Linked DNA regions of Nothobranchius furzeri. The protein of the gene in region 2 purifies or fractionates together with the protein of the main gene of each other region. This does not show direct contact. Links are inferred from orthologs where the notes say so. Each region holds a gene or a part of one and is shown on either strand. Other genes may lie near its edges.

Region 1 (4,827 bases), on a different chromosome or scaffold from region 2:
AAACTCCTGCTCAGGTGGACATCATGCAGATGTGTGTGGTGGAGATGGCACAGCGACCGGGCAAGCCTCTCTTCCACCTGGAGCATTACATCGAGGGGAAGTACATCAAGTACAACTCCAACTCCGGCTTTGTGAGGGACGACAACATCCGCCTGACCCCACAGGTGAGCGGCGCCACCTTTTAGTTCAGAAAACCAACTCAGCTGATGGTCCAGTATCCAACTCCCCTTTTTCTTCCTCCACCAGGCCTTCAGCCACTTCACCTTTGAGCGGTCGGGCCACCAGCTGATCGTGGTGGACATCCAGGGAGTTGGAGACCTCTACACGGACCCTCAGATCCACACGGAGAAGGGGACGGACTTTGGAGACGGAAATCTAGGTTGGATAGACGATTTGATGCATGTTTGAAGCAGAAGTGATTCCAGATGTTCCGCTCTGATTAACACCTGTGTTCCAGGTGTTCGTGGCATGGCTCTGTTCTTCCATTCCCACCTGTGTAACAAGATCTGCAAGAGCATGGGCTTGACGCCTTTTGACCTGGCCCAAGCAGAGCAGTCCCAGATGGACTGCACCAGCAAGCTACTTGTAATTTTAATACTTTGATAAAGTCTCAATTTGGAATGCTTTACATGTTTGGTGTGTCTTCGTTAGTCCTGTCATGTTTTAGCTCTAAGTTTCACCTCGTTTCCTGTCAGAAGTCGGCCCAGACGGTGCTGAGGGGGTGTGAGGAAGTCTGCGGCTCGCCTCGTGTTCAGACATTGTCTGCCAGCCGGGTGCCTCCGCTGCTGTCCCGCCTGTCAGAGACCTCATCTGCAGACGAGAGCGCGAGCGACATGGACTCGGTCTCCTGCTCGCCTCTCACCCTTCCCTTCTCCCCCATAGTGATGAGCGGGTCGATGGGCAGATCAGCCTCAGGTGCGTTCCTGTCCGTTTGTCTGCAGGAGCACGGTGCATGAGGAATGGACTAGTGTGTGAACAGTTGGTGTTTTCCTACATTTTCCAGGCATGTCCCTCTCTGGAATGGTTGAACATGACAGACTCAACAACAACAACAACAACACATCTGATCATAAGGTGAGCAGTCAAGTGTTCTCAGTGTGTGTTGTTTGCTTAAACACATTCACAAAATCTGCCTTTAGTCAGTTAATTTGGGTTAAAACCTCTGATTTAAGTTTCAAAGCTCTTAAAATTATTGATTTTAAAAATATATTTGTTCCGGCTCTTGGACAGTGCAGACGCTTTTTTAGTCCTCTCCTCCCTATCTTACCCTCAAGGCTTTTTGTCTGTCTTTGGGTGCACAGCTGCTTCTGCATTTTGTCTGGAAACTGAAATAACTAAAATGGATCTTGTCAGTTGGTCACTTAACGCGATGGATACAATTTTTTCAACGATGAGAACGGCTTTGGCACAAAAGATGGATGCCATCAAGGAGAAAGTGGACGAATCAGCACAGGTTGGGATAGATTAATGTCCATTATTGGGATTTTGAGAGGTTGAGGACCAACAGAACTTTAAGACAGAGAGGAAATTATCTCTGTCTGGCCCCAAAACAATTTCTAATCTGAATCTGGTGCCCTTGAACCTGTGAGGCTGCGACGAATACTCCCGCTCAGAAGAAATGTGGAATGCTGCCGTCGCTATGGCAACTCTGTCTCCTATCCCAGCCTGGGCAGGACTGCGGGCTGTGAAGGCCGCTGAATCGTTCCAGGAGTCACTGTGCCCTCCAAACCTCAACAACCTCCTTCTCCTGTCCAGACTGAGGTGACATGCGCTGCTTAACGTTTGTCTGCTGGAACTGACGTGTGGAGAGTCCCAAACCCACCACCCCACCTAGTGAACACTTATGTTGTGTGATGTCTGAAGTCTGTTGCATCTCTCTGTCTGAGGTGTTTTTTGCATAGCAAAGCTGCCCTCCCTGTGGAGGGTAACACCTTCTTTCCACCGGAGCTGTCAGCAGCACGTTACTGCAGCAGCACGTCTTGCTCGCGTAAGCTGCTGCTTGGCCTTTCCCACGAGACGCGAAGCAGCAGGGGAGCAGCTGCCACCGACCGAGCACGAAGTCACACGAGTGACTTTGTCAGTGAACACAACAACAAGCAGGAGAAAATTACAACATGGTTCCAAAAGGTTTGTGTTTTATGTTCTGTCCATTTTATAATCGCCAATACGGACCTGAAAAACAAAGGAGACCGTTAGCTAGGTGATAACTTCTCACGGGCCGCACAGTTAGTAACTTTTTTTTTAAGTAAAGCAACCGGAAGGCAGTATGTTTGTTTATTCTGAAAATCTCGGGAAGCTTCGCTCCATTTTCACGTCCGATTTCCTGTCTTTCCTTCCCCAAAAATGTCGAACTTGACCCGTTTCAGAGGCGCTGCGCGTAGAAATAGAACCGGCGCGTAAGGGCCGCGACATGCTGCTCCTGAGATGCTGCCGACTCGCGCTGCTGACGGTTCCGGTGGAAAAGGTTCTGTTGACCACAGCGGTTCCTATCAGCAGCTATGACGTGCTGCTGACGGCTCCGGTGGAAAGAAGGGGTAACTCTGAAGTGCCTTTTTTTCCCTCCACCTGAACCAATCCTCATGTAACCCTCTGATCTCTATTAAGGTACCGCAACTCGGGTTGCAAATGACCACAGTTACCAATTCTTGTCATGTGTCTTTGCCCATGTATGTCTGATCTCTGAATTGTGTGTACTGAAACGCTCATTTCCCTCTGGGATTAATAAAGTATCTTTGAATTGAATTATTATTCAATTTTTACATTCTGCATCATTCCTGCATTTATTTTTGTCTGTGGGCTAATTTCTTAGCCAAATTTACACTCTCAGAGTTGCTTACAAAGTTGAATTATCTTCTCGGTTACGGTTGATTATTTGTCTTTGTTTGCACAGCTTCTCCCTTACAGTGAGGATTATGGGAATTCAGCTAATTTCAGCATGTGTGTAGCCCTTTAGCAAACAAACATCCCTCTGGCCCCTGGGTAATGAGGCCTTGCAGAGTTCCAGAGCGGATTTGTTGAAAGGCTGACCACAGTTGAGTCCAGTGCAACAATGAGAGTGTTCATAAGCTTGTGGAAACAGATCTGCCCGAAACAATGTTCTGGACCAACAGTCCTCCTTTTGTAACAGTTGGTTCCTCTCTCAGAAAGGTATTTTTTATTTTTGTCTACAGTGACTTTTGTTTCTTTTCCACTGTGTGGGTAAAGCAACAAGACCAACACGACATGCCTGAGAGCAACACTAAGCAGCCAGGGTTAATAAAAACATCTAGCGTTTTGTACACAGAGACGACGGGTCTCCAGGGGATGTTCTTTTCTGTTTTTACATTGGAGTTTACATGGATACGTGTTGCAGCCCATTAGCTGCTTCCTACAGTGTGCTGCTGCACATATCCTGCTGGGTGACGCAGCTGTGGTGTAGCGCTGTGGCGTGAGGGAGTTGGTCCTGTTTCTGGAAGGTGGTCGTGTCAAAGCTGGAATTGCATGAACACTGAGTCATAAAGGGGATTTTGAAGTGTGTTTGTGGGTAAAGGTTGTTTAAAAATACCTGTTAGATTATAGATTTCTGAAGAGCCTCGGTTCAGAGAAACAGAGTTTATGACTAAGCTACGAAAACTCAACGCAGCACTAGCCTGGACCTCTTGAAGGCACCATTTCTCTGCAGTCTGATCGTCTTTCTTTAAAGACAATCTAGTAAGGACTGCAATTATACACTGTGGTTAAACATTAAGTAATGGGAATAGAAGAGTAGAGGTTTAGTTCCTGCTTCAGTAAAAGTGTCAGAACTAGTCCTGAGTTTTGTTGTTGTTTCTGCAGGATTCAGAGAGCGGAGGAGACAGCGGCTACCCCAGTGAGAGGAGGAGCGAAGGGGAGCCAAACGACCACGTGGACGGGGTAAAGACTTCCACTCAGGACTCGTTTTACAGCAGAAACGAGGAGACCGATTTATTTAACATTTAGTAACACGTTTGGTCAGATGTGTGTTGGTGTTCTAGGCTAGAGATGAGGTTCTCTGAAGTCTGTTCTGCAGTTGACCACATTACGTTTGGCTCTCACTAGAGCTCCTGGCAGCAGGTTTTGATGCATGTTGTATCGTCACATAGGCCCATCATCGCTACCACAGAACTTATTCTGAGTCGGATGACGACAGTGTCAGACGGGTAAACAAACAAAGATAAATGTGTGTGAATTCAATCATAACCGTTCTCGCTCTAATCCAATAACACAATCATCACCCTTCATCATCATCATCAGTGTTTTCTTTTCTCTACATCACCTGGTTGACACTGAAAAATCATTCCTCACTTTTTCCTCATAATTTACCCCCTCATCTTCTGTGTCCCCCCCCCCCACTAGAGGAAGATGGTAGCTCCTCCAAGAGTCTCCGCAAACTTATATTCACAAAGTCCCGACATTCAATGGGTGACTATTATTTGCCCGAAGGCTTGCTAGCTGACTGTTTTCCCAGCTCTGTGCAGTGGTTTTGCTTTAAAGCTTCACTTTTTGCTGATAATTTACCAAGCATGAAGATTTGTATCAATAATCAATAAGCTGCAGCTGTTATCAAGCTCACACCTTTACTGCTTCAGCTGAGTTACAAATACAAATTCATTTAAAAGAATTGACTTTCAGACTGAAAAACCATCTACCTCCAGGTCCCTGATGTTTGCCACTCAGCTAACTCGCCATCATCTCTTTGTTTGGGCTTCTCTTTTCTCCTGCTGTCGTTTGCCTCTGGCGTCTCTGAGTGGATGGGGATGTGCTCCTCCAGCTCTGAGCTGGCGTTTGTCTGGGTGAACTCTTAACTGGTTTGTTTTCTCTGCTCAGCTG
Region 2 (5,472 bases):
AACTGTAGAGTTTTCCAGACTTAGAATCAGCGTCTGAGGAAGAAAGATGGATGAAAGGAGGACAGGGGGAAACTGCTGCAGGATAGTGGAGGATGCTTTTCTGAAAAGCTCTTGAAAAACTTGGCGCTTCCCTACTTTTGGAGAAGTAAATGGTCCAAAACTAGAAAGTGGAAAGTTTTAGCTGGAAACTTTCTTCCTGATCTTGATGGTTTTTTGTCCCAGAGGAGCTCAGATTCGGATTTGCAGCTCCGTCTCTCCGCTGCAAACAAATGTCAGAGGGAGAAGCTGTGACACATGAAGCAGGAGTGGGAGGGCTATGACGTCACAAGGGGGGGGTGCTGGGGGATTTACCTCACCGGGATGAAGTAAGTCGGAGGGTGGAGTGAGTTGGAGCTGCATCCTGATTGACTCACTGTGTCCTCTCGCTTTCCTCCTGCTCATCCTTCGCCTAATTAGCTCTTCCTGTCTTCATCGTTTTTACTTTTCACTTCACTTCTTTTTTCTGGGCCCTCAACTTCCCGTCGAACCTTCTCAGACAAAAGCAGGAAGCAGCCAGGTGTGCTCAGCCAAACATGAGCGATGAGCGTCACTGCGAAGCTTCTTTTTAGTTTCATCTGAGCGAAGAGACTCGTGGAGAAAAGTGAAACGTGGTTCTCGTTGGAAACCAAAAATATTTCCCTTGAATGTGATTCTTGCAGCGACGTCTCAGTGCATCTACTCAGTCCAGAAACGGCTCGTATTTACTGTCAAACTGCTGAAATGGTTTTCTGAACTTGTTCTGTCCGTTTCCGACCTAATCGGGTGGATCGTTTGGATCTTTGGAGTCATGATTAGTCGGCGTCTTACCTGAAAGCAAAAAGAGCAGATGACCACAAAGTGTCCTGCAGCGGTTTCACTTGTGTGGGAAAATCCAGAAAAAGCATATTCTGTCATCAGTAGGGACTCCACCCCTGTCGTGTTGGACAACATCTCTTATATTTATGTTTTGTAGTACCTGGCGGTTTAGCTCAGGTAGATTCCTGGCCGTGGAACACTGGACCAGCTCAATACCCATTGGGGGCGTCCTGGAAGTGGGGTTCGCCCCACCGATCTACGTGTTTTGTGGATTTTGAGAAGGTGTTCAACCAGGCTGGATGGGGGGCCCTGTGGGGGGTACTCTGGGAGTATGGGGTACCAGGCCCTCTGATACGGGCTGTTAGGAGCTCGGTCCGCATTGCCGGCAGTAAGTCGGGCTCGTTCCCAGTGAGAGTTGGACTCCGCCAAGGCTGCCCTTTGTCACCGATTCTGTTCACAACCTTTATGGACAGGATTTCTAAGTGCAGCCAAGGTGGAAATCTGTTTTGGTGGCCTGAGGATCAGGTCTCTGCTTTTGCAGATGATGTGGTCCTGTTGGCTTCATCAGAACGTGATCTTCAGCTTTCACTGGAGCGGTTCGCAGCCGAGTGTGAATCAGCTCCTCTAAATCTGAGACCATGGTCTTAATTCAGAAAAGGGTAGAATGCCTTCTTCGGGTCCGGGGTGAGGTCCTTCCCCAAGTGGAGGAGTTTAAGTATCTCAGGGTCTTGTTCACGAGTGAGGGAAAGCTGGAGCGTGAGATCGATAGGCGGATTAGTGCTGCATCTGCAGCGATGCGGGTGTTGTACCGGTCTGTCGTGGTGAAGAGAGAGCTGATCCAGAAGGTGAAGATCTCGATTTAGCGGCCGATCTACGTTCCTACCCTCACCTATGGTCATGAGCTTTGGGTAATGACCGAAAGAACGAGATCGCGGATACAAGCGGCCGAAATGAGTTTTCTCCGCAGGATGGCCGGGCTCTCCCTTTGCGATAGGGTGAGGAGCTCAGCCATCCGGGAGGGGCTCGGAGTAGATCCGCTGCTCCTCCACATCGAGAGGAGCCAGTTGAGATGGCTCTGGCATCTGGCTAAGACGCCTCCTGGACACCTCCCTGGTGAGGTTTTCCGGGCACGTCCAACCGGGAGGAGACCTAGAAGAAGACCCAGGACACGCTGGAGGGACTATGCTTCAGGCTGGCCAGGGAACACCTTGGGATTCCCCCGGAGGAGCCGGCCCAAGTAGCTGGGGAGAGGGAAGTCTGGACCTCCCTGCTTAGGCTGCTGCCCCCGTGACCTGATCGGACGATAATGGATGGATGGCTAACTCCTTACCTTCCTACGTTTAAAACTAAATGTTTAGAAACGCCTTCAGATTGAGACACGATTTGAGCTAAAATATCCTGTTTTAAGTCCTATTGCAGAGATTGTCACACCTGGCTGATCTATACCACTACAGTAACTTCTACTGGGAGACTAGAGCTCTAGACCTTCATACACCTGTATGTATGATGCACTCCTGAGTAGCAGAACATCTCACAACGTTTTAAAGCTTGTTTAAAGAGTCACCACACTGAACAGATGTCTGTAAGCATCTGTCTGATGAGAAAGTACAGAAATGTAAAAGAGTAGTGGAACTTGTAAAAAGTTGCAGAAGTTTAAACCAGACTAAAGTCTCCAGAAAGCCTGACTGACTTTCTTCTTGATTCTCCAAACGGAGATCATGTTTATTGTTGTGTATCGCTGCTGAGATGGTAACGACTACTCCACACAACTCTAAAAGAGGGAGAGAGAGAAAAAACCCAACTCGGATTGTTTCATTTGACAAAGAGCTCAGAAAGGTCTCTTCTGATTTTTGTTTCCGCGTGTTTTTGTTAGAGCTTGTGGTCTGGCTCTGCAGGGATCCGATTTCTCCCCAGTAGAGCTGTGACTGAAAGCAAGCATTAACCCCCAAAGCTGACACACACACACACACACACACACACACACACATGTTCGAGTACACTCAGTCTCCTTGTCCTGTCAGATTTCCAAATCAAATTAGCTGTACGTGTGTGTGTGTGTGAGAGTCTGGAAGCCATTACCTGGCACGTCTCTTTGTTGACCAAAAACCAAGGGGCCCCATAGAGATCCTGCCACCATCTCTCTCTCTCTCTCTCTCTCTCTCTCTCTGTTCCCTCTCTCTCTCTCTCTCTCTGTTCCCTCCTTATTGCCTCCTTTATTGTTCGTTCCATCCGTCTTTTGCCACTCCTGAAGGACAAGATTTATTGGCTCAGTCCTTCTGATATTTTCACAATCTTTAGAGTGTGCTTGTCTTAATAAATCATCTCTATCCCATTTGTCATCAAGCCTGATTGAAGCCATCGGTGCCACCCTTCTTCTTCGCTCAAACGCAGGAAACTCGAAGCAGGAAGTGATGGAGTCAGGTGACAGGAAGGAACCCCTGGGTGACTCACTTTATCTCTGGGTCCCTGGAAGTCCTCGAGCGACGGAAACACACCCAGTACATGGGACACACAAGCATGAGTGCACACACACACACACGTTTCCCTGTTGGTTCTTTAAATAGCCCAAAATGTCAACAGAAGCCTGAATGAGAACTTCCCAAGATAGCAGCTCTATTGATCCAAACCACATGCAGCATGGTCCACTTCTGTTACCTTCAACAGTTTTATTACTTCTGAGTGGATCCTGTAGATGCTTGATGCACACATGTAGATAAAAGTCCACGAAGCTCAACCCATCCATCCATCCATCATCCATCCATCCATTTTCATCCGCTTCTCCGGAGTCGGGTCGCGGGGGCAGTAGCCTAAGTCGAGAAGCCCAGACTTCCCTCTCCCCAGCCACTTGGGCCAGCTCCTCCGGGGGAATCCCAAGGCGTTCCCCGGACAGGTGAGAGACATAGTCCCTCCACCGTGTCCTGGGTCTACCTTTAATCAATCAATCAATCAATGAATCAACTTTATTTATATAGCACTTAATCCTACAATACATGCAACTCAAAGTGCTTAACAAATTAAAAAGGCCCCACATACCCATCCCTCCCATCCCCAGAATTTAAAAACAGTCTGACAATAAAAACCCCTTCACACAACACTCCTCCACGGACACACACGCACGCACGCACACACACACATACACGCCCCCTTCCCCATGGTAAAAAAACATGATTGGCTGAGCTAAGATGAGCCAGACCAGCTAAGACAAGGATAAGGAAACACTATCAGGGGAGCCATCCGCCCTGACAGCAGCAGATCCACAGCAGCAGCTGAGGCACCGACACCGGGCGCCCAGGGCAGGGAGGGCAGAGACCCCCACCACCACCCAGGCACACATGGAAAGCGCCCAGGCTGCCACAGCCGACCACCGCCGCCGGGGCAGAGGGCTCCTTCCGGTTGGACGTGCCCGGAAAACCTCACCAGGGAGGCGTCCTGGAGGCATCCTGACCAGATGCCCAAGCCACCTCAACTGGCTCCTCTCGATGAGGAGGAGCAGCGGATCTACTCCGAGCCCCTCCCAGATGACCAAGCTTCTCACCCTGTCTCTAAGGGAGATCCCAGCCATCTTTCTTATTCTTGAACTTCAGCTGTTTTGATAAAGGTTCGATAAACACAACTAGAGATGCTCCAATCAGGGTTTCTGCTGCTGATCATCCACACCGACCAGCTTTACTGCTCATACATTTTCCATGAAGCTATAATGAGTGCTACGGACTATGATCTGGGAACAAAGGAACAGAAACAGTACCTAAACTAACACGTATCAATTTAGACAAAAATGTGTTTTTACTTTTTAAAGAGAAAAAGACTTGCAGCACCATCGGTGTGCTTGTTTCTGACCACAACTTCTAGGCCAGGGTTCATAGCTGAAGACGAGATCTTGGATGAGAGGCAAAGTATCTTCAAGAAAACCAGAAAAGTCCGGGTGTTTTCAAATAAATCTTTGGAGAAGATCATGTCCATGATGAATGATAATTTACACACTGAAGCACGAAGCATCAGTGACTCAGAAACCTAAAACACTAAAATGTAGCAGCTGTCAGTAACAATCTAACAGATTTAAAACACTATAACCTCTAAAAAATACTCACAACTTTGTGTGTTGTTAGATTTATTATCATTAACATTATTATTATTAATGTTGTTTTTTTAGGGATTTCCCGATCCGATCACATGGTTTCGGCTTTACGTCCCGATCTGGACTCGGAAACAGGGTCCAAATTACATTCTTTTGAGCGGGATGCAGAGAGCGGCAGCACGGATTACTAAATCGCTCCAGACAGCTGCAGATCAGAGACGGACACGAAAAGAAAAATAGGAAAATAAAAATGTAACGTGAGGAAATATGGGTTTTCTGTCACAATGGTGGTGCTGGACTCAGCTGGGTCATAGCTGGGTCATTGAGAACTTTCACCCACAGATTAAGACCTGAACGCCAGCGAGTCTGGGAGGAAACCATAACATCTGCCACCTGCAGTCTACCAGAAGATGTGTTTCCATGAGTTGTACCCAGACCAAGTCAAAACATAAAGTTTAAACTTCTTTTTCTTGATTTTAATGTTAAAGTAACCATTATCATTTTGCTCATTATAAATGTGTAAAATCAAATGAATGGTTCTTATGCTTTGGGGTAATTATAAG

The links. Proteins that work in one complex are often made in the same cells at the same time.
Region 1: the proteins of hspa12b (region 2) and eef2k purify together in Homo sapiens (affinity purification with mass spectrometry; 3 studies listed by BioGRID and IntAct, with this or other methods). This does not show direct contact. The link is inferred for Nothobranchius furzeri from reciprocal best matches to the Homo sapiens genes HSPA12B and EEF2K.

Annotation. Positions count from the first base shown.
Region 1 is NC_091756.1:44,629,941-44,634,767, reverse strand, and holds part of eef2k (eukaryotic elongation factor 2 kinase), read left to right. Parts: intron 1-14; coding exon 15-164; intron 165-246; coding exon 247-379; intron 380-457; coding exon 458-585; intron 586-695; coding exon 696-915; intron 916-1,003; coding exon 1,004-1,074; intron 1,075-3,813; coding exon 3,814-3,891; intron 3,892-4,100; coding exon 4,101-4,157; intron 4,158-4,353; coding exon 4,354-4,419; intron 4,420-4,824; coding exon 4,825-4,827. UniProt on the Homo sapiens protein: Threonine kinase that regulates protein synthesis by controlling the rate of peptide chain elongation.
Region 2 is NC_091754.1:61,298,666-61,304,137, forward strand, and holds the start of hspa12b (heat shock 70 kDa protein 12B), read right to left. Parts: upstream 3,205-5,472; 5' UTR 3,064-3,204; coding exon 2,914-3,063; intron 270-2,913; exon of another isoform or gene 1-269.